2 linked regions of the Struthio camelus genome follow. The protein of the gene in region 1 purifies or fractionates together with the protein of each later gene. This does not show direct contact. Links are inferred from orthologs where the notes say so. Each region holds a gene or a part of one and is shown on either strand. Other genes may lie near its edges. The genes, in order: RNF114 and protein mono-ADP-ribosyltransferase PARP12.

Region 1 (12,147 bases):
ACCAGCTTGCCCTGAGGGATGGAAAAACTAAATATATAAGTGAAAATTTTAGATTAAATAGGAAGCAGCAGTATTTAAAAAAAAAACTTTTGACTCCTTCTGTCAACATAAGGCTTAAAATTAAAACGCTAGAAAACTAGTGCCAAAGTCATTAAATTAATCATAAAGCCAACAAACATGATTACTGTTTGATATAATACTTAAAATGCATCTTTTTTTAAACTAAGACTAATAAAAGTTTATTTTCCAGGTTACAAACCATTTTTGTCAGAGTATGGAAGAAAATAACAGGCATGGAACTAAAGTATTTTGAACTAGTTTCTTACACAGTTGCACAGATTTGCTAGAGAAGATTGCAGTTTGAAGATCTGTACTAAAGATATCTTTTCCATACAGTTGAGAGGCTGACTATATGAATTCAAACACTGGTAAACATTACGAAGTCACAGTAATCATAGGCCACTTTAAATGGGAACTGATCTGGCAATTACAGTTAACACCTAGCATTCTTACTGAATGAAAACAGAGCTGTGAATACATCTCTGAAACTATCATTCAAGAAATGTGAATGAGAGATTGGGGAGAGTTATCTACCTACTAACTCAGGCCATTCCTTCTGGAATGTTTTTGCTTTTAAAGAGAGTCAAATGAACACAACTGCAGAAAAACAAGCATAGGAAAGAGAAAACAAACTTGTCTCCTTCATGTTGACCTATCATTAAGCTTTGTGTGAAGCTAGTAAGAAAACTAGGCTGACATGGTTTAACAGCATAGAACACGCTAACAAGAGACCAAATGATACAGAAAGACCAAATCAGGATTTGAAATCAAGAGATAGATAAAGAATCTTCCATATTTCTGGATGCCTGAGTTCATCTTGGGATGTAAAGGGAGAAATGCAATGATGCTGGGCACTTCTCCCCTCGTGGAAGCTTGGTTTTACAGTTAATCTTCTACTTGTTTCATTTATCACGCAAAGAACGGATCAAAACCTGTGCCATCATATCATCTTCATCAGCATCATAATCCTATGAACAAAGGGTATAGAAACTCAGCCATACTGCAACAGCCACATTAGTTAGTTCAACACCAAGAAAACTCAGAAAATAGCTGCCTCATCCTTTGACTTGCCAATAATACAATTTCTCTAAAATAATGGATAAATTGATTATTGAGACATCATCTGCACAAATCAGATTTCACAGTAGCAGCTATGCAAAAAAGCTGGATTTTAAGAGTCAGCCTGTATTCCAAAGGTAAGAAAACACATACCACGAAAGTATCGTATGAAAAGCGATGACGCCTCTGAAGGTGCTCCATGAAGTTAGCACTCCTGTAATTTGGATCTCCCCATGGCATTGAGGCACAAATTGGGCAGACCTTCAAGAAAAAAAAAAAAAAAAAACCACCCAACAAGAAAGCCAATTAAGTACCAATGATTAAATGCTTTAACGTTTACACTGGGAAGGGCAGGACAGAGACAATATGGAAGACTAAAGCCTGAGGTTTGCGACAGTCACTACTCTATATGTAAAGTGATTTTAGATTACTTTACTAGGACTGTCAATAAAAAAATTTCAGATAACCCTACATTATTTCCATTTGATTTTTAGACCTCTGAACTGGAATGGTTTAGGGTCTTCTCCCTATATACTGGAAATTAGAGTTATTGAGTACAGTGTTTACTGTGGCGATTTCATCCCTCTTTTCTCAATAATAGAGCAGTTTCCTTGAACTCTTTTGCAAAGATCACTTCTCTCAAAGTGAAAGAAGTGAACTTTTTTCCTAAATTAATAATTTTGAATTCCAAAAAACACTTTCAAGACAAATGAAAGTTTCAAAGTGAGTTCCAAGTTTTGCGATTCCTCCTGTACGTGAGGGAGCAAAAGCAGATAAAGATTACTAGAGGGAGATGCAACTTTTTCCAAGTATTTTTCACATGCATTTATAACAGATCTTCTTGCTGAGAATAGCATAGAGAGATCTTAAATAACAGTAAATATCTTTTTGAAATTATATGAATGATATTATGCTTATTAGCATGCATAATTTACTTCAAATGCCTGCCATTTCTCAAATAAGAAAAGGAAGATGTGAACTACAATAGGACTAGAGAAAGTCACCTCCAGCAAACGTTTCCGAAACCACAATTAAGTAAAACTTAAGTGCGTGAACAGCATACCCACACTTGACTTTAACAGAAGCGATTATAAACATGTACTTAACTTCAAGCAGCAAGTCTCTAATTCATTGTTTCAAAGGGATTTAAGACTAGACTTCATTGCAATTCTTGAATCAAGACTCATTATTACCACTTGTTTTGCATCCAGGCTGTGCAGTGTTTTGCAGTGTTCAACTAGTCCTTCTTGATCAAAGTTTTTCTCACTACAGTACGGACAAGGAAAGGTAAAGCGATTTGGAAAGTTCCTGGTTGCAGGGAGGAAAAAGAGACTGTTTCAGGAAAGCTAAACTTAAGAACATTGGGAATAACTACTTATCTTACCAGCTATTTAGAATACAAATTATTCAAAGCAGTAATTTCATTCTACGCAATTAAGGCAAGCTAATTTCAAGAATCAGCTTCTTTATTCCTAATGATATCTTAAAGAACTTTTAATATCATCCATATTTATACAAAACTACTTCTCTTACAAATGTTACAAATGCCATTTATCAGTTTGCTTTCTTATATATATATTTTTTAAAAAGGCACAGTCACACACCCAACACGCTACAATGCGGCTCACTGCAACTTCCCTTCATTGTAAGTTACTACAATCAAGAGACAGAAAGACAAAACTATTACTTAACACCTCTCCCACCCCCCTTTAACTAAGTACCCTGATCTTGCACTAAAACATCCATGGATAACATCACAAATTAGAACAGCTTGCCTGTGCATAGTCTGTTGTTAGGTTGAAGGCTTAGTTTAACAATATGAGAGGATTAAAAGAATTAACACCCAAACTGAGTGAAGAGGTAAAGTCTGCTTTTACTCCAGTATTCTACAGTTTGCATGACACATCATAACACAGTCAACTTTTGTTTAAACAAGATAAAAGGACTGTTCTCAGAGCAAGAATCAATTTTTAAGTTTCATAATGATTAAATATTTACAGCCCAGTTTGTGGTATCAAAAAATAGCACGTCAAGAGAAGAGCTAGTTACCTGGTGTTGTTAAGGGGTTCTTTAGTTACAGCTTTTACACCTTCCATTATATAATTCTGGTACTTTGAACAAGAAGCTGCATGGCTACGCATCTTTGAGAGATACATCTGGAGAGACAACAATTAAACAGCAAACTCAGTTTAAACTACTTGCAGTCACTTTCACTTTCAGGCTTTTAGGCAGAAGAAGTAAACGATACGCAAAAGAAATAGGCTTTCTATAGAAAATGCTGAAACAGAAAAACAATTAGGCTGATGAGACAGAAAACTGTCAAGACTACGTACTAGTTAACCAGTAACTTTGTTGCCTGTAATATGTTACCAATACCATGCTGTTCAGGACAGCTCACTTTTCCTAAGATGTAATATAAAAGTTTCATATAAAGCCAGTTTATCTGGTTGCTCAGGAGAAGAGCCAATACGGGTAATAGCTTCGCTTTTTGTAATTGATCTACACCAAGATCTGTACTGCAGAACGTTGTCAGATACGCAGCACGTACAACGAAGGAACGGAGACGAACCTGACTTCACAATTTCTACTTGCAAAAGCCTGAAGGTTTTTTTCTTTGCAAAAATCCATTTTATGCTTGAAGTCTGGCTAACAATCGATTTCAAACATGCTTTAAATTAGATCCGAATCTTAATAACCCTATCCAAGCTAGAAAGAACAGTGTTTTTAGGAGGAGTAAGAGGTACAAAAATAGGCAATAACTCAGGAGGATTAGATACTGATTAGCAGTAGATGCGAGATAAAGATATAGCTAATGTATCAGCCTCCATCAAAAACCAAGTGCAAGTCTGACAATCGTGTTTCAAGCATTATCCCACTAATGAAAACTGAAATTTCCTGTAAGGAAATCTACAAGTCAAGGGACTGCAATTTTATATCAGCCAGAATAAAAAAGGTGATACTACTCAGAAATCAAAAGTGAAACTAACAGAACAGATACTCTCACCTTGTTTATGAGAAATATATAACAGCAGTAGTGCAGGAGATGAGGAACTTTGTTTTTTTAATAAAAAGAGAGCTGTAAAAGTTCAGTTAGCATAATGACATTCTTTAATGAGTTTTAAATTAAAGATTTTAGCTTTACAAGTGAACCAATTAATCTGAGGATTAGATACAGGACCATATGAACTACAAAGCTGCAGTTTTGGTGTAATATGCATCTAATTAACCTTTTCTCGCTGTCTTTCCATCTGTCAAGATATTTTCCCGTATATTGGGACAATGCTAAGAAGCCCAAACTTACAAAGAGGAAGTAAATGATAAGAGGGTGTCCTCTAAGTGTTTCATATGCAGGATTTTACCAAACAGTAAAATATATGGAATATACTGCTCATATAGGACAGCTTTGTCTCATAACTATTTCTGAGGAAGCAAACAAAGTTCTTCTGTTTAAAAGCCTAGGCTCTCAGTGTTTAAAACCACATTCACCATTTCCTTACAGCGTTACACCCACAGACATCCTCGTAGCAATATTTTATTATTATTTTTAAACCAACACAGCATCTCACACTCAGAATTCACTTCCTAGGGAGGTAACAATAAAGACTGTGGAAAAACGTCAACATTTAGGAACGACTTACAAAAAAAAAGTGCCTGTAGTACTTAAAACAAGCATTTGACCTGTTGTTGCAGAAAGCTGAAGAGCAAATACTTTACTTCCCTCTAAGCTGTAGGACTGAACAGGAACACTTCAGGCACTTGGTTTTCAAACGCTTTCCTACCTTTTTATTGCAGCCATTGCAAGTGGTTTCCGTCATTTCAATTTGCTTCTCCAGGTCCAGAGCTCTGCTACCAGGAGACAGGGTACTGCGGCAGACGCCGCAAACAGGCTTTTTCGGCTTGAGACATTCCTGCAGGCACGGAGTGCAAAAGCTAGCATGGGAGAAAAACAGCAAGCGGTGAGAAGGACGCTCCTTACAACTCGATTAAAACACTCAGAGACCTGCCATGCCCCCTGTTATTAGCGATAAAGGAGTCACAAGAAGCGACAGCGGCCGGCTGACATTTGTGCCGTGTGACGGGAGGTGCAGTCTGGGCCATCACAGTCGGAATTATCAGATTTTCGACAAATCTCTATCTCCACCAGCTTTCACAGGTGGGGGGAAGCTACCGAACGCACCGCGCCGCTGTTTTTGTGTCAAGCGAGGCTCACGGCGCCCCTACAACGGGCTAAAGCGCGCAGCTGCCTGCAGACCCCCGTCCCCTCGGGCAAGGCCGCTTCACCGACCTCCCCCTACGGGAGCCGGGCCCGCCCGAGCCCGGCCCGGGGCCGCCCCCGCCGCGGCCTCTGCGCCCGCCCGCCGCCTCGCGGCCCGCTCACGGCACCCGGTCGAGGAAGGGGCCCGCGGGCCCGGAGCCGCCCCCGAGGCCCCCACGCCGCGCCGCGCCGCGCCGCCGGCAGCCGCTCACACATGTCCGCAGGGCACGCGCACCGGGCTCTCGTACACCTCCAGGCACACAGGGCAGGTGAAGCGCGACAGCGGGTCGTGCCGCCGCGCCGCTGCCGCCACTGCCCGCTCCGGAGAGCGCGAAGCACCACCTCCACCGGCCACCGCCATCTTGCGGCGGCCCCACCGCCCCCTCGGACCTCCGCCTCCGCGCGGGCCCCGCCCCGAACCCCCAGCCAATCGCGAAGCCGCCCGCGCGCAGCCGCAGCACAGATCCCGGCGCCGGGGCGAGCACGGCGAGGAGACTCCCGCCCCGCGGGGGCGGGCGAGGCCCGGCGCAGGGGGCGTGGCCCGAGGTTGGGGGCGTGCCCAGGGGCCGGAGGGGCGTGCCCAGGGGCCGGGGGCGTGGCCGGGGCGCCCCGGGGCAGGGCCGCCAGTGGCGCGGGGCAGCCGGTGGCGGCGCGGGCAGCAGGGCGAGCGCCGCCGGGGGCCGCCCGCCTCGCCCGGGCCTGCGGAGCGGCCGCGGCCCGGGGTGAGGCAGGAGGCGGCGGTTCTGCCTGGCGGAAGAGAAAAGGAGCGTTTTTACCAACAGCTAGAGCAAGGCCGCGTGAAAAATTGTAGATGGCGCGGGCTGTTCCCCCCCCCCCCCGCCCCCGGCCTCAAGGCCGCCGCCGTCCGCGTTTAATTGGTGCCGCTGTTGGTTGCCGGCGGTTTTCGGCATCTTGCGGTCGGGGAGCGTCGTGCCGTTTCCCCCTTGCTCTCGCGGTCCGGCTGCGCCGGCTGGGGCGCGCCGAGCTGGTAACGGGAGGACAACGCAGCTCCTGTCGGCGGTGGGCAAGCCAGGGCACCGCAGAAGCTGTTTATAAAACGATAAAGGCGTCACGATCCCTTCTGTTAGGGTCGTGGCATAAACGCCTCGTGCCGAGGTTGAACGGACGCGTAATTCCCTGCAGCGGCTGCTTTTCTCCTTCCCTCGCGGCTGTGACCACCTGGCGGGGGAGCCGAGGGGCGGATCCGCCGCCGCCTTCAGGCCTTTATTCCCCGTGTCCCCCCGACGCTGGGTGCGCGGGCGGCCGCGGCACCAGCCGCTCTCGTTCCACGCGCGAGCGCGCCAAACGCCCCCCGGCTCCTAAAACACAAGGGGCGAAGGGCGCCGAGCGCGGCCCTCCCGCGCCGGCCTGGCCCCGAGCGGCTGGTCCCCGAAACGCCCTGCTCTGACCCCCCTGCCGCCCCCGCCTAGGCTGCTCCCCAGCCCGGGGGGCCCTGGGGGGGTCCCACAGCCCGGGGGGGCACAACCCGGCTGTCCCCTCGGTCCGGGGGGTCCTGGGGGGGGTCCCACAGCCCGGGGGGGCACAGCCCGGCCGTCCCCTGGGTCCGGGGGGTCCTGGGGGGGGTCCCACAGCCCGGGGGGGCACAGCCCGGCCGTCCCCTGGGTCCGGGGGGTCCTGGGGGGGTCCCACAGCCCGGGGGGGCGCAGCCCGGCCGTCCCCTGGGTCCGGGGGGTCCTGGGGGGGGTCCCACAGCCTGGGGGGGGCACAGCCCGGCCGTCCCCTGGGTCCGGGGGGTCCTGGGGGGGGTCCCACAGCCTGGGGGGGGCACAGCCCGGCCGTCCCCTGGGTCCGGGGGGGCTCTGGGGGGGTCCCACAGCCTGGGGGGGCACAGCCCGGCCATCCCCTGGGTCCGGGGGGTCCTGGGGGGGTCCCACAGCCCGGGGGGCCACAGCCCGGCCGTCCCCTGGGTCCGGGGGGGCTCTAGGGGGGGGTCCCACAGCCTGGGGAGGCACAGCCCGGCCGTCCCCTGGGTCCGGGGGGTCCTGGGGGGGGGTCCCACAGCCTGGGGGGGGCACAGCCCGGCCGTCCCCTGGGTCCGGGGGGGCTCTAGGGGGGTCCCACAGCCTGGGGAGGCACAGCCCGGCCGTCCCCTGGGTCCGGGGGGGCTCTAGGGGGGGGTCCCACAGCCTGGGGAGGCACAGCCCGGCCGTCCCCTGGGTCCGGGGGGTCCTGGGGGGGGTCCCACAGCCCGGGGGGGCACAGCCCGGCCGTCCCCTGGGTCCGGGGGGCGGACACGGGGGTCCCTCCGCCCGGAGCCCCTCGGCCGGGGGAGTCCGACACCCCGAGCCCCCTCCCCCCCGCCGCCCGCACCGCCCGCTGACGTCACACCGCGGACCCCCCCCCCCACCGCCGCAGGGGGAGGCGCCGCTTCCCCCTCTCCCCCCACCCCCCGCCCGCCGCCATCCACTTCCGGGGTGCCGCCGTCGCCCTCCGCGCTCGCCACCGGGAGCGCCCGCGTGGTCGGCGACGGGAGGACAAGCGGCGAGGAGGGGGTGAGCGGGGCGGGGGGCGCAGCGCGGCCTTGGGGGGGGGGGGCGGAGTCTACATCCGGGTCACCGGGCGCTTCCTGCCGGCGGGCCGGGGCGGCGGCGGTGAGTGCGGGCCGGGGCGGCGGCGGCCCCCGAGGGGCGGCGGCGGCTCGGTGCCGCAGCGGGGCCGCTCCGCGGTCGCTGCCGGCTCCGGGGCCTCGGCGTTTGGCTGCCCGAGCTTCCCCCGCGCTGCGCGCCGGCTGAGAGGGCCGAGGCTCGGCGCGGGGGCGGCCGCGGGCCGGCCGCTCTCCGGCCTCCTCCGCTGGGCGCGCCTTGGGCCCGGCTTCCCGTCGGTAAGGCGGCGCGGCGCTGCCCGTCCCGGCGGCGGGCCCGTCTCTCCCTCGGCGCTGTGTGCCCCTGCGCCCCGGGGGCCGCCGCGAGGCCGGTCCGCTGCTGGCGGCGCCGCAGCTCTGCGGAGGTTCGTGGCTTCCTGGCGCTCGTCGTGTTCCGTTTCGCAGCCGCCTGAGCTCCGGCCTGCGCGCCAACGGCGGGTCGCGACCGGAGCTGCCAGCGGCTTTGAATGTCACGGGGCGTGAGGCCTTGATGAAGGGCTTTCTCTTCCTTCGGGGACTTTCCCGAGCGTGGCGTCTTGTACGTCTGAGCTGTTTCGTTAAGCAGCTGTCGACGTTACAGGTGGAGGAGCTGCTCCTTAATCCAACTCCTTACCGACGCAAGATCATCCCTTGTCCTAAGGCTGTGCTATTGGCGTGCCAAGCGAAGAGCTCTGTCTGCGCTTCTCTCGTACAGCCTAGCTACAGCTGTTCTCGCTAAGTTACAGAAATTGTGTTGTTTTTGTCCACAGACTTCGTCTGACACAAATTAAGAGGGAAAAATCCTGGAGGGAGGGAGAGAAGTGAGCGCTTTGTGGAAAGGACTGAATTACATTCTTACTTCTGCCCCTTGTGTTAAGATGTTAATTTAGAACCCCGTGTGTCCTGTGATTCACAGCTTCTCTCCCGACATCAGTGCGTTTCTGCTTGTGCAAAGACCAAGAGCAGTATGCCTCTGAGCAGAAATTGAGCTGCTGGTTAACTTTTCCCACACGATGCTACTGTTAGGCACATCCTCTCATCAAGCAAGATTAGTTGCTAGGCTGTTGGGCCTTCTTGTTTCTACCCTTTTTTCCTTTTTTTTTTTTGTCATGTATTTGTGTTATGGCTCCTTTCATTCAGTTCATCTTGCACTTAGAGTGATTTTTTTCAATGTCCTCATAGGCTTCTGCTAAAATAATCAGCAGTCTTATGGCTGCTGAAATTAATATTGGGTGGGAAGTCTTTCTAAAATGCTGTTTCAGACTGACTATAACTGATACAATGGATTGTGTGGGGTTTTTTCTTCTTTTTTTGTTTAGAGCTAGGAAGCGTATAAGGACTAGGATTGTGCTGTCTTTTAAATAAAAATAGCAGTACAAAAAAAATAAAGCCTGTGATCTGCTTTCTGATCACAATTTCTTCAGGAAATTTAGATGGAGTCTGTTGACCTGTTAGTTACCTTGGCTTTGGTAAAGTAATGTTAGGAAGCTTATTTTCTTACCAGCTTTTTCTGTGTGGGAGATAAGAACTCAATGAGATGAAAAAGCATAGTCAGTAATACGTAAAAGCAACCAGCCCTGCAAACAAAATGACATAAACACAGAAATGATTTTGCTCTGTTCTAATAAAGCAGTTAAAATTGGTAGCTGTAGCTTTCCATCGAAAAGGTTACAATGCTACTACTAGCATTTGGCTAAAGCTTTGGCTGTACTTTGCAGTGTTCGGGGGCACATGTGCTCTCTAGGGGGTGGCTGCAGCGTACTGCCGGCACCACGATGGCCGGGGTGTGCCGTTGGATAGAATGAGTGGTGTTCAAAAGCCTAGAAAATGTTAGAAGTAGAAAGGCTAAGTGTATTAATCTGCTCAATTCTATGGGCCGAGCCTATGCCACTAGCAAAAAGAGAAGTATATGCTTTCCTAATCTGAGCAAAAAGAAACTTCTTTTTGGGATTTTGTACCTTTATATCTCTGTGCAGGGCAAACGAAATAAAACAGTGACCAATTCTCGTCATGTTTGTACGATTTGTTTGAATCGAAAAGGCGCGATAAAAGAAAAAGAGAAGACGCCCTAAAAACCCCTGCTTTTGTCTTTCGGTCTTATGTTGTGAGTTACCTTCGCTGTTGTTCTCTTAGCCAAGGAATCCTCAATCTGGACTTGAATTTCCACCAATTTTCTGGTATCACACTCTTGGTGCCTTGCCCCATTTAGCTTTCTGGTGCTCTGTTTTAGACAGTTAACTGGGGAAAGGAGTAGAGAATAGCAGTGAAAAGGAGGACACCAACATTTCTGTAGGCTCCTGTGCTTTTTCAGAACCCTAAAGAGTCTGTTCTGGGAGCCCCTGCACTGTGAATGATTTTATAGAACCCTGTGAGGCAAATAGATGCTATCGACATCTGTGATGACTTGTCTTTTTCAATTTTTATTCCAGAAGAGTTGCCATTACTGAAGATTCTTAATGCCAGATAATCAACCTACTGTGGAATAACCATGAAAGAGATGAGGTAGCTGCCGAAGTGTGAGACAAAATCTGATTTCAATGGATACAAAATATAAAGACGATTTATTTAGGAAGTATGTACAGTTCCACGAATGCAAACTGAACGCCTCTGACAGCAAGCAGCGTCCTATTAATGATGAATATTTGCGAGTGGCGGCGTCAGCCTTACTTTGCCTTCCCAAAATTGATCCCTTTTATAGATTCCGGTTGATAAAATTTTATGAGATGGCTGAAAACTCCCTGAGATCGCTGAAATCCTCAAGTTTACATTCTCTCCATAATGCGTTCAGCGTGCTCGAGACAGTTGGAATTAATCTCTTTCTTTACCCCTGGAAAAAGGAGTTCAAAAATATTAAGGTAAGATATTTCATATGTGGCAGTAGCAAAAACGTGTGGTTTTTTTGGCGTCTTTCATGCATTTCCTTTGAAGATATTTTTCCACTCCTTAAGGCAGCCTAATGTATATATTTACATTTGTCAACTGCACACAGCTGGTAAACAGAAGTCATAGGAAAGGTTAGGTGGAAAATACGTGGATTTTGTATTGGTGAGAGTGTCTGGATAGTGGAAGTCAAAATCCTGTCTTCATTCGTAAAATAACCTTAAAATAGTGGAAGAACTTATCTAATGGTTTTGTTCAGACTCTCCTGCTGCTATGCCTTATTTTCTACTTGGAGATGCTCTTACTAGGGCGAGTGATTAGGTTGCATGTAAGCTCACTCAAAGTTTGTTCTTTATGCTGCATCTGCTCTTAATTTAGCACAAGTACTAACAATCAATCCGTGCTTTCAACTCGATGCGTTGCTGAGGTTTCCACAAGTTATATAATAATGGTGAGCAAACATCTCTAAATAATAGTTTCAAGAATGTCTTTTACTTGCTTGTCGGTTCTCAACTTATGAAGCTTTGATTTTAATGTACTTTCAAATTATTTACTTTTGCCAGGATCTTGGAGTGAAATGTAGGAACTTGTGTATTGCTTGATTTGGATACTAGAAGACAGCTAATGAGTTCTCTGCTGTCGATTTCCTGTTTTATCTTTTACCTCTCCTTATATGCTTGTTAAAAGCTGCTGCAGTGTTTCAGTAGTACGTGCTACAAGTGACTTAAAAGAACTGTTTTGAAACCTGAAGTTAGAATAAAAAGTGTTTCTGGCATAGGTGTCTAAAATGCGTTGTGGGTTGCTTGTACCAGTGATGGGTATTTTTCTTTTATTTTTCCTCCCCCCCCACCCCCCCCAAGTTGTTTCACAGTTGATCAGAGAATTTGAACATTAATGGAGTGTTTGAGACTCCTCTGCCTCTCTTAAGAGGAAACTTCCATTCCTCCAGATTTCCACGTAGGTCAGCTTCATCATTATGCTTAAGTTCAGGCTTTTGAATTGTTGGATGGTCCATGCAGGATGTCTCTTGATGTGCGGCTGCTGATGGTGGTGATTGGTTGTGCACTGTGGATCAACATTTGTTCAGTACAAGGATCTGATGGCCAAATTATACCTGCTTGCAATCAAAAACAATTTGACCTGTGGTGAGAACATAGCTCAGGTATACTAGAGGCTAAGGGAACTAACTCATGCAAATTGGTGTGTGTATATATATATTTTTAACTATAAATTCTTGACCTAGTTTAAGATTACAGAAAACAGCCATTCAAAACTGTATAGTAGTAGTACACTAAAGTGGTAAAAGTTTTTA
Region 2 (12,081 bases), on another chromosome or scaffold:
CAAACTCCGAACATTATTAAGACTTATAATAGTTTATACCTGGTTTTGCTGGGATCACAATATGCTTCTTCTATTTCTTCCATATTCTTCAAGTCTTTCCAGGTATTACCATCAGAGATCTGCCATCTGTATGGCAAGTGAAAATGAACTCTGATACACTTGTCTATAAAAGTAGGAGAAAGTAAGAGAGATATTATTTTTTCAGTCTATGAGGGGAAAAAAAAAAACCACAGCATTTCTGGGATAAACATCTAGCTGGTAAAAAGCATCAAATGCATGGTTATGGAAAGTGCTCACCTATGAAATCATTACAAGCAGTAGTTTAGATTTTCTGAGCTTAGGGAGAGGTTCAGTTTCTTTACCTACTAGATTCTCTTTGTGCATCAAAACTGATGGCAAGTCCTGCTATCACAAAAACAGTTGTGAAGGACTGTTTTTTTTTTTTTTTGGTATTTTTGATTTAGAAGACAGAAAATTTGCAATGGATCAAGGATCACAAGCTCATACAAGGCTAGTATTTCATAAAAGGAATAGTGTAGACTCAAGTAAAATTTCTTTGCTTAATCATTTAGCTCCCCAAGTGGTATTACTGAAAAAAGCAGGGTTCAGTTTTAGGACAGCAAATGAAGTCTCCAAATGAGCTAGCAGGCTTAAGGGTCCAGGCCTCAAAAGTAACAACAGTAGTGCCAACAGCAGCCCAGGTATTGCGGGGGTCACTCAGGAATCACTCAAAGTAGCAGTGCAGAGCTCCTGAACTGACAGGAGTGAAGATCAAATCAGCACAAATAGGCAGAACGCTAGTTTTCACTGGAGAGCAACAGGCAACACAACAGGAAAAGTCAAGAAGGCTGCACCACACAGTTCATACAACAAGATACGCAGTACTCCAGAGAGGTATTACAGGTCAAGAACATCAAGAAGGAAAAGGATGAGAAAAGGACACCCCAAGAAGTAAGTTGGCACAGCAGCATTTTCCCTGGACCAGTCAGAACATGATTAAAGGGAGACAGAGCTCAGACAGATAGAATGGAAGAGTGCTAGAAGAAACAAGGGACAATGCAGAGTTCACAGTGTCGTCTCTAGTCATGTGGAAATAGGAATCCTATCGTTCAGCAGTCCCTTACGTGAACCCAGCTGGAGCAGACAATCTCCAACACAGGCCAATATCACACCTTTTAGAAGAAGTCAGAACAGCTCCTTTGTTAAGTAAGCCAAGTAGGTCAAACACTTTCTCTGCAGCCCTCAAGAGAAGTGTAAGCTCTGAAATTTCCACTTTCTGTGAAAAGCATCTATTGTTTTCTTTTTCTAAGAAAAGGAAAATAAAGTAGACTTGCTATGATCACAACCTACCTTTAAAGCTACAACTTTTGTATAGATGATATAAACAGATCTGTTCCAATTTGTCATCATTCGTAGTTGAGGACTCTTGACTAGAGCTGCGTTTTCTCTCTAGAGGGGGAATTACAAGCCTTGTTAATACGCATTGTTTCAACAAGCCCTCCTACATGGGCATCTATGGCTAGGGCCTAGAAACAGGGTTTGTAACTATGTAACTGAGTTCAGCTCAGGAAAGACACTGAAGTCTTTGATAATCTTATACACACATAAGTCCTATGCCTTTCTGAATGATTTTCACACAAGTGCTAAATTCCTCAGATTCAGTTTGTAGCTATCACCACAAAATAAGAAGGGAATCCAATGCCTTTGCATTTCTAGACAGACTGGAATTATCTGTGCATTCCACATAGCTGCTCATATTGACATCTATAAAATTCAGAGTTTCGAAATCTGGTATTTCTGTAAATCAAAACGCATTTCCAGAAACAGAAGGTAAGATGGAATTGCTAGGAGAACAGCAAAGACAAATACACGCACACACACACTTGGATTTTCCACTCTTATCCTTTTCCCTGCTAAATTATACTTGACTGACAACTATAAGGAACTTCAAAAGACAAGAACGAGCAAAATAGCAATACATTTTTGAGAAGTAACTAGGATTCTGCTCGCTGTGATTTTTTGTGCTAGACAACAGCTAGATTAAAAAAATAAAAGGGAGAAAGGAGTAGTTTACAAACACACAAATAAACGCCACCTCTGTTCTTAAACAGTTCTCTACTCCTCTTCTGTGATTTTTCTTGGTGAAAACATGAAGTCTCTATTTTCTGGTCCTGTTATGCTCTTCTAACCCAAGCTTTAAGATTTTTATAAACACCAAGCACTTTACTCCTCAGGCACCCATAATGCCTTGGAATTGATTTCACCTGAGTTTTTGAGACACAACCTCTGTCAATGACTTGGGTGCAAGGTAGCAAGTTCAGTTTTCTTTTTTGTTTTGACAGCCGTGTTAATGCCACAGTTAACATAAACGTGTCTAAATGTTAAGTTCACTATCCTAACTCCTCCTCTGATGTTTTCAAAAGATGATGCGATTTACCTTTGCATGGTGAAGACTTGCCATCTTTTGTGTCGTACACGTTCGTGGTGCCATTTTTTATGTCATACATGTTCCTGTAAGTGGAGGGTAGTTTCTCAATAACGTCTGAGCTCATTCCCTGTCTCTCCAGTTTCTCATAACATTCCGAATTTAAGAAGTCATGGGATCGCTTGCAGCTGCTGCCAAATCTGCATTGTCCCTGCAAGAAGTACTGGCAAATATGCAGTTTGGTGCAGATCTTTTTATAGGTACAAGATCCATAAGGTCCATCACCTTTGTTATAATGCAAGCAGACCTTGGTAGGGAAAAAAAAAGAATTTAAAGATTGAAGTATAATGTACTCAAAATAGACTGCTTTAATTTAAGAGATTTTACATTTTTACAGTTGCAATTTCACATTTGCATTTAAAAGACTTGTGCATGTTTCTTCTTTTCCAAATGATTACTTGATAGGTTTTTCCTTTTCCCCACTGACGTTTAGAAAGATATTTCATCAGACAAGAAACAACTATCTTACAAACATTCTCAAGCAACTGGGATTTTATCCTAGATCACATAAATGCAGGACAGTGGATTCTATTGTGGCATACTACTCTAAACTCCCTGCCTTTCTAGTTTTGGAAAGGTGAATTTTTTGACCTTAATTTGGTAGTGAGAGAAGAGAGGATACAGATTTAAAGTTTTAGATCTGGATTGTTCCAACCTGAACTGATTCGTCCTTTCTTTTGAAAATCTAAATGGTTTACTCTCAACTGAAGATGTATATTATAATTATCAAATACTAATATCGGTAGAGAATGATCTACAAAATACCAGTACATGCCATACTATATATACACCAGAATGCCTTCAGAAGATTGAAAAGCTGCCAACCAATGCATGTAGTTTCTTGAAGATTTCCGAGTGAACCACGGACAGAAGAAACATTTCTATTGCCTAACACAAAGATATGTCCACTTCCAGTGACAATAAACTCAACGCCTATCAATTCACGGTAGAGCTCTATCCCTTCACAGTACTACAATCTGCAAAACTCTGACTGGAAAACAAGACTGGAGAGGCAAGGGTAACGCAGGCCAATGCCCACATACAAAGACTATGAAGGGAAGAGGGTTCAAACTTACAGTTTTCTTCTGCAAGTACTGTTGTACTTCACTCATTCTGTTCAATTAAACTGTTCACAGAAGTGAGACTAAGCAAAAACAAAGTCTGTCAGCTCACAGCCTATGACCATGAACATTTCTCAGCACAGCGTTTGTCAACACTGTGTACGTATCTCCAGCTAATATCCAGCCTCTTCCACTTAGTGATGCTCACAGAAGTACAGAGATAAGAAATTGCTGCAGTATTGCTTACCTCTGGTAGGAGCGAAGGGTCATTTTGAAGAAGCAGCTGGCGGAGTTCATCACTGTTTAAATTCTCAAGTCCATACTGTTTTAGCACATAGAGATTGTGCTCCGAGTGAAAGTTGTGAACAAACTTGCATTCCTTCCTACAAGACAGCCAAACGTAAAATTAACGTAATAGATCGGCACAATTTTGCTATCCCATCTGTATTGCACTAAACAGCACACCAAATCAGATTTTTTTCCGAAACTGGCTATAGTGCGTCCTCATCAAGCAATTATGTGATTTGCCTAGCAGCTTACATAATTAGTCTGTGGATAATTACCATTTTATTTCTAATTTACAGTCATTACGGCATTAGCATAGTCTGGCAACATTGGCGCTTTTGACCGGCAGCTCCCGGCAAAACGACACAGGAGAAGCACCACCAAAAAGCCAAAACGCTGCCACCGACCCCGACCCACGCGGCAAACTCAGCTCCGAAACTCAGCGCTGTATGAAGTGCTGCGACCCCTCGGCCGCGCTCGGTCTTCGCCGCGGGGCTAGGCCGAGCTCTGGGCCTAACGGATGCCCTGCAAGGGAAGCGATACGAGCTGGGCGGCGAGCAAGGAAGGAAGTGTTGCAACCGAAGCAAGAGTCGGTAAAACAACCTCCGATATCTCTCCCCCTAGGGGGAAGGAGAAAAGGGAAAAAAACAAAAAAAAAAGGCATTCATTTAAAACACCCTCAGCGCCAGCAGCGGAAGGGCAGGCAGGTGTTTGCTGAAGGCTCGCTCCACGTCCGAAGAGGCGCGACAAACCCGCCGAGGACGGCCCCGTCGCACCCCAACAGGCCGCTTCCCCCGTCCCGGGAGCCGCCAAGAGGCGCTACCTGGCGCCGGACTCCCGCCCCCCGCCCCAACGTCCCCTCTTCCCCGCGCGCCCGTTTAACGGCCGCCGCTCCACGGCCCGGGGAAGCCGCCGGGAGACAACGGGGAAGCAGAGAGACACCTCCGCCCTGGGGCGGGGCGGAGTGGGGGTGGGGGGGTCGCCTCGCTCCTTCACTGCCCTCCGGCCCGGCCCGGCCCCTCACCTGGCCCGCTGGTTGCGGCAGACGCCCTTCAGGTGGTACTTGCAGAGGTGCAGCCGCCCGCACTGCCCCTCGCAGCCGGCGCCGTGCTCCGGGCACAGCCGCACGCCGCTGGTGGCCACCACCACCACCACCGCCGCCGCCGCCGCTGTCGCCCCTCGCTCGTCGGCCCGCGGCGGCTCCGGCCGCCGCACCAGCGTGAAGCGCTGCGCGTCCCGCAGCACCAGCTCCAGCTGCTCCGGCCGGAGGCAAGCCGGCAGCCGCCGCTGCAGCTCGCCCTGCTCCAGGCAGCCGCCGCTGGAGCACAGCACCCGCAGCAGCTGCCCCTCCAGCGCCATGCCGCGACCCGCAGCTCCCGTCCCGTCCCGGCTCGGCTGGGCGCCCCCGGGCAGCTCCACCCGGGCGCCTCCCTCGCAGCCAGCGGCGAGGAAATGAAACCGAAAGCGGCGCCTGGGGCCGCCCCGCCGCCAGGGGCCGCGCTGGGCGGGCCCGGCCCCGGCTCCTGCCGCCGAGGTTTTTAATTAACCTCGGTGCTGCGGGCCGGCCCCTGGGCCTGCCTCCTCCTGGCGTTTTGGTTGTCTTTCTTTCCGGGGAGAGGCTGCCTAGGTGTAGCCGCATTTGGTAGAAGGAGCTGCAAGCTCTCACGTCTTTTGTAAATGTAAGCGGGAAAGGAGAGACGGTAGCCGGGACTCCTTCCTCACCTCCCGTTACAGGAGGTTACGTTGCAGGGTGCTTTCAGCCGTCGTTAGGCACCGGAAAATCCAATTCTCCGTTAAGGTTTCTGAGCTGGGTGCTTTTCTGATGGCATATAAGGAAGGGTATTGAAGAATGAAATGAATTCCCATACTCCTTTCCTTGGGATATCTCAAAAACTCAGTCGTGGGCATGCATCCATTGGCAATGCTTCTTGCGCTACAGCCACGTCACCAGAGCACGGCCAGCTACCGTGATCACCCTCTGGGTGCTCATAGACTCTTTAGCGTGGGGACCATCTTTTGGGCATTTTAAGTGCCTTCCTCTTAGGGTCATGTTGGCACTGCTAGTGCTGCATCACATTCATTCAGAGGCATGCTTTAAATCATGAAAAAAAAAAAAAAAACCCAGAAAATACCATTCTCTTTGTTGGGCTGCCAGCAGCAGGCGTGGGAGCTGTTAAAGTTGCCAGTGTTTGGCGTTGAACAAAAGCAGTGTGTACTTCCTTCACCAGTGAGTTCTGTTGTGCCCTTGCTCAATTGGCTGCCTTCCCCTTGTCTCTTCCTATTTCCTGCTTCCCCTGTTAGATCGGGAAGGGAGTGATGAAAGGAGAAGCTGAACAAGTACATTCAGCACAAGAAGAGCTATAACAGGTCAGTTAGAGGTCCATGTAGGTCTGTAACCTACCTTCAACAAAGGCCGTCTACAGACGCCTAGAAGAGAGTGAGAGGCTGTAGAGGTACCTGACTTCCTCCCACCCTTCCAGTGTCCATTAATTTGATTTCCTGAACCAGAAGAAATGCCCTAATTTTATTAGGATTGTTTCCTATTTGTTCTCTTGATTCTTTTCATGGTTCTATAGCTACTTATCTCCCTTCATTGTCTCTTTCCAGTCTGAAGAGTTTGGATCTATTTTAGCCATCCTTTGTATGGAAGTTATTCCATAGCTTGGACCATATTTGTCCTCCTTCACTTTCTAATATAGTCTTTTCATTAAGGGCCAGACCTGCAGATATTATGCAGTGCATCAAAGGTACAGTGGCACAACAGCACTTTCTGTTTCGTTTTCTGCTGCTTTCCTAATAGCCCCTACTGTTTGATTTTATTGATGGCTTCTGAGCTTGGAACTGGTGTTTGCACAGAGTTATCCCATCATTATCCTTAGATCTCATTCCTAACTGGTAATAGTCAGTTCAGAAGTTATCACTGTCTGTGTGAAGACAGGACAGTTTCTGCCTTCTTGTGTTAATGTACACTGAATTTCAGCTGCCATTTTATCATCCAGTGTATCATAGGGTCTTTCAGCAGTTCTTCGTAATTCACCCTAATGATGATTTTCCTGAATAACGTAGTGCTCTCAGCAAGCCTTTTCACTTTGCTATTTATCCTCTTTTTCTGACCATTTATGAATATGTTGAATAGTACAGGCCTGAAGATGCGTACGCTGGGGGACTTCCCTCAGCTGTGAAGAACTTTTGGAAATCTTAAGTCAACAGTATGAACTTGGCTCTCCCTTGTCGACATACTTCTTGTTGACACCCTCTAATAATTTCAGTATGTGTCTGAGGTACACGTTCTCTACAGAGGCCTTGCTGGCTTTTCCGTATGTTAGTATAGTTTTTCTTGATTTGGCTTCCTGGTCTCTAGTTATCTGGATCTCCCCTAAGATCCAGGTGCCACATTTGCTACCTTTATGTCCTCTATTACCAGGGGAATTTTAAGTGAGAGCTCACACACCACAGATAGTAATTCCACTCTTTCCTCCCTGAGTTGTTCAAAACACAGGTGAAAGCCTCCTGATATCAGCAAGTTGTCAAACGTCAAATTGGTGGATAACTACGTATACTGGCACTTCAGTAGGAAATACCTTGACTGAACACTCAGATATTCCCATTCATAAAAGTCACGGAAACAAGCATGGTGCTAAGCAGCTCCCACTCATTCCAGTAGGCCTCCATTTACTTTTTTTGTCTCGTTCTCTAAAACTATCCTATTTAAGTGGGTCCCATCTTCTTACGTCTTAAACGTTTGTTTCAGCATCACTGTGCTGTCGAGGTTGCTGCTTCAACTGTACGTCCCCGATATCTTTTTCCCTCTTTCACCTAGAAAACAGCACCCAGTTGGCAGAAATAAATGAGGCTTTTTTTTTTTTTTGTCCTAAAATTTGTAGAATTGACTATGCCAATGTAGAGATAGAGGGAGAAGTACAAAGGAGAGCAAGGTAAGGTGTTGAGGGGTGTTGTTTGCAGGTGGCCTTATACTGATTGCAGTTTCTTCTGATCTGTTGGTGTGAATTTCACCAGGAAGTTCGCATTGCTGTTCCTGCTTTGCAGCTACATTGAATTTTTCAAGGCTCTGGAGCAGATCTAGCATTGTATCACTTTTCACAAGAACAGAAGTTATACTAGAACAACAGCCAATGATTGATGCAGCAAAAAGATTTGCAGCTGCCTTTGAACATTAAGTACCTTCCCATCCCCAGACGAATACCCAAAGTAAATCATAGCTTATTCCTTCTCACACAAATCTCTTGTAGTTTGTTTGGTAGCATGTTCCTCAGGAAGAAAAAAGTACCTCTTTGATTTGATACAACTTCCCCACCTATGAATTATATATAAGCAAAATTGTATTTTCTCCTTCTTTAGAAGAATTTTCTGCTAATGGAAAAGTAGCTTCTCATTTAGAAAATCAAATATCTCCAGTATAAGAAAGGGTTACATGAGACCTCAGGGCACATAAGGCAACTGGCTCCTCTTCACCTCCCAAATACCCTAATTAAAGGTAAGCCTCAAACTCTGTTTTGTTAAATGTCATTGTAACATAACGTATATGAACTATTCCACCTACAATTTACGGCTGCTTTATGCGTTGGACCTGTAATAAGCTCCCTTTAAGCAGTTCCTATGGTTTCTGAACACCTGCAGGACTCAGAGCACATGGATTTATGACAGTTGTGGGGCTTTAGATACAGTAGTTTCAGTGAGCCACCTTTGCTAACATGTGATGCATTGTGCTGTGGAAACTCCCCTTACAATTTTTAGATTAGATTAATCTAAAGTCAGTCATTAGATTACTATATATTTTTTTTTTGGTAAAAATTGATGGATAATTGTGTTATTTTGAATTGCAACATCATTTCATAATCTTGCGTATAAATCTTCAGAATGCAGTAATTTAATAATTTTCCAGTGGATTTGTGTACATATCTTTAAAACATCCATTGTTGTGATAGAATGTAGTGCCACCACTTCCCACCTCATCTATCTGTTTTTATCTGTTTTAGCCCTTCTCCTAGCTAGCATGGTGAAACTCCTGCCTTGGAGTTATTTGTAATGGAAACAGATGTACTGAGCCTCCCCTACAGTTCTGTGACATTTTTACGTAGGTAAGGAAAATGGACAGAAAAAGAGAGATCCTAGGCGTAGTTGTGAGCTTGAACGTTCTCTGGTGAAACATTACCTTCTGACTGACATAACTTTATCGTTGACCACCAAGGGTTTAGCAGTTTAGTGTGATATGTTTGCTTGCAAATGTTTTTGATCACCTCTCAGCCTACATTTCAATACACATTCGGAGTGTCCCTCGCACTATCCATGCATATCCAAAAAGGAATCTCTAAGAATAGGACTAATAATTTCCTCAGTGGTGATCTGACAGGATGGTTACTTTTGAATACTTGGCTGAACTTAAAGTAACTTTATCTGCAGCTGGTCCATTTTGTAGGAAATACATTGGCTTGTGTTTGCTATATAGTATTTCTGTATATTGCACTAATTTCTTCATTTATTATTTGTATTTCTGAAGTGTAGACTAACCGACATCTCTGTCAACATCTCTAATTGACAGCAAGCTTATATTTTTTAAAGATTTTCACAGTGGTACTCTAACCTAAAAATGAACCAACCAACAAAAGCCCCACAACTTGAAAGCAGGAAACTGAAAAACTCAACTCTGGTGCAGTACATGAATAACACCAGACTGTGGGGCTGTTGGCTATCCCAAAGATCTTTCAACCGCTCCAGAAAGCCGTATAAATCCTCATTTTTTACAACTGCCTCAGCACTGAGCTCATTTTCGAAGCTAACAGAAAAAACTGGGCGTGACATAGGACACCCGTTTTTTATCAAACTGTTAGCCCAGCAGTATATGTGAGAATTTCTATTGCTTACAGTTTTCACTGTTGCTTAAATACTTCACAAGTGGCCTTGCTCCTGAAAATCAAAATATTTTTGGCTTGGGATTCACAGCTCAATTAATGATACTGTTATGTGTCATTGGCACAGTTCTAGTTTTATTCTGATGAAGTTTTAGTTACATGGTGCAGATGTAAATGTTTGGTGCAAGGCTTTTGTTCTTCTCAGCTTTATACCCACAAAAAGGTTTTTTTTCACACAGACCTATTACCTTATGCACTGGCTCCTTCCATCGTACAGAAACCACCAGTTCCTAAGAACATCCTGTCTAGACTTTTCTTTCTTCTGCACGTCACTGCTGCCCATCTTGTTTTCCTTACTTTATTCCTGCAAGGAGTACACTCTGCTCCTGGGTCTGATCCCAAGCTCATTGGAGTTAATGTAGGAGGGAATCTTTCTATTGCTTTTGAGGGGCTTTGCCTGCAGTTCTCATTCCTGATGGCTGTTCCCCTAATCCAGTGACTCAAGAGACTCATCTCTTGCTGAAAAAGCAGCACAGAGCCCTGTCAGCTCGCATGTAGATATGCCCCTAAAACTTAGTGTGCGTTTGTTGGAACTAAGTCTCTGAAGCACAGCCCTATCCCGGGACCTAACAGTGTTAATGCCTTCTTTAATACTGCTTTGATCCTCAAATGAGCAGTAAGGGCTCAAACTGGATTTTGATTCACCTCTGAAAAGGCTGTGTGAATGGTAGTGTATATATGCTGGCTACATCTAAAACAGAATGTACTTAACAAGTGGCTTTGGTATAGTGCTGTCCAAGTTTATTGCCACAAGAGTTTTTTATGCCTCTGAAAACACCTGAGCCAACAAATTCATTCCTTTTAGGGCCAGGAAAGGTGTCATGATTATAATGGAAAAAACCCCAAACCAATTTATTTCAGATGAGTTTTTATGCTCCTGTCTCTCTCCATTTAGAATGGAAATTCAAGGTGAAATTTGTGCAAGGTGAGGGAAAAAAAAAACCCATGGGAACCAACCGGAACAAAAAGTTTATTGAAACAGATGCAAATAGTTTAGAAGCTCAAAGTTTAGAAGCCTTTTGTTGGCTCGGAACAGTTTTGCCTTCATTTGTCACCACATTATCCAACAATAATGTCTGCTGTCCTAATATATTGAATCTGAATATATCTGTTAATTCCTCCACTAAGCCTTCCACTTTTGGTGGGAGTGGCTTCCCTTTTGACAGCTAGTGAATAGCAATTCCATTTTCCTTAATGTACGAGTTGCCACCAAGCCACTTTTCTATGTATCATGGTTATTTGTTTTACACGCATGAGTTTAAATGAGCAACTCCAGCAGTTCAAGCAGTTGTTGTTACTTTTTCAGAATTCTTTATGATTAAAAAATGCAATTTGTCGGGAGCCAGAACGCAGTTACTGAATTCTGTGTAACTTTTCATTTTGCACTGCAGTCAGCAGCAGTGCGGAAATTGGCCTGGTCCTATGGTGCTTCATCCCATGTTAGACAAAATAGGAAATTCCATTGATAAGGACTTACCGCTAATGTCTCCGCTGGCAATGTGAAGAGATATGTTTAGGAAAACATGTAATCCTTATGAATACAAATTCTGTGTCTGCACGTACTAGTCATAGAAAACCATGCTATTTTATGTCTAGATTATTGGAATCTCTATAGCGTATAGTTACACTACATGTTCATCAAATAGGTTTGAAACATTGGACAGAAGCAGTCATTTGGATCATCAAGTCTAGTCCCTCAGAATCAGAGGCAACTCGTTTATTAAATATTCAGTTCAGAAATGTCCTCTGCTGAATCAACAGGCTCCCTGAGCCACAGAGACAGGCATCACATGAGCCACCTTTAGCACCTTAAGATTTGTAGTTAAAGAAAAAAAAAAAAGACACAACTCTCATCAAAAGAAGAAAGTGGCAAGTCATCACTAGTGTCCTAGACCCTTGAGACAGCATGGAATTTGTTAGGTAAAACTTTCAGTGATCCCAGGAAGCAGACCATGTCCATACTACACAGGACAGCAAATAAACAAACGTATCTCACCGATCTAACCTGGAAAAAGTTCCCTCAGGACTCTAAATCTGGCAATCAGCTTAACCCTTACTGTGTGAGTAGGGCACATTCACTAGATATCTAAAAAATGTTAATGTTACTAGCTTAATACAGTAAGAAAACTATTCCCACCCTTTCTTGTGGGGAAAAAAAATCCAAACCCAAATGGAGCTTTTTGCAGAGGTTCTGTAAAATTTATATACTTATTACCTCACTTACGGTTTCTACCCAAGAGTGAAACCAGAAGACTGTGGATAGCATGAGAAAAGATAGTTCTCGTTATACTTCTGGCCAATAGTCTAAATGCCAGCATGC

The links.
Region 2: the proteins of RNF114 (region 1) and protein mono-ADP-ribosyltransferase PARP12 purify together in Homo sapiens (affinity purification with mass spectrometry; 3 studies listed by BioGRID and IntAct, counting the BioPlex papers as one, with this or other methods). This does not show direct contact. The link is inferred for Struthio camelus from reciprocal best matches to the Homo sapiens genes RNF114 and PARP12.

What each region holds. Positions count from the first base shown.
Region 1 is NC_090959.1:9,896,791-9,908,937, reverse strand, and holds the start of RNF114 (E3 ubiquitin-protein ligase RNF114), read right to left. Parts: upstream 5,824-12,147; 5' UTR 5,736-5,823; coding exon 5,587-5,735; intron 5,050-5,586; coding exon 4,899-5,049; intron 3,276-4,898; coding exon 3,169-3,275; intron 2,428-3,168; coding exon 2,313-2,427; intron 1,381-2,312; coding exon 1,273-1,380; intron 1,029-1,272; coding exon 963-1,028; 3' UTR 1-962. Other genes in the region: SPATA2 (spermatogenesis-associated protein 2), read left to right, coding at 10,493-10,810. UniProt on the Homo sapiens protein: E3 ubiquitin-protein ligase that promotes the ubiquitination of various substrates. In turn, participates in the regulation of many biological processes including cell cycle, apoptosis, osteoclastogenesis as well as innate or adaptive immunity.
Region 2 is NC_090942.1:63,881,494-63,893,574, reverse strand, and holds the start of protein mono-ADP-ribosyltransferase PARP12, read right to left. Parts: upstream 5,238-12,081; 5' UTR 5,191-5,237; coding exon 4,856-5,190; intron 3,930-4,855; coding exon 3,794-3,929; intron 2,733-3,793; coding exon 2,438-2,732; intron 1,450-2,437; coding exon 1,351-1,449; intron 164-1,350; coding exon 40-163; intron 1-39.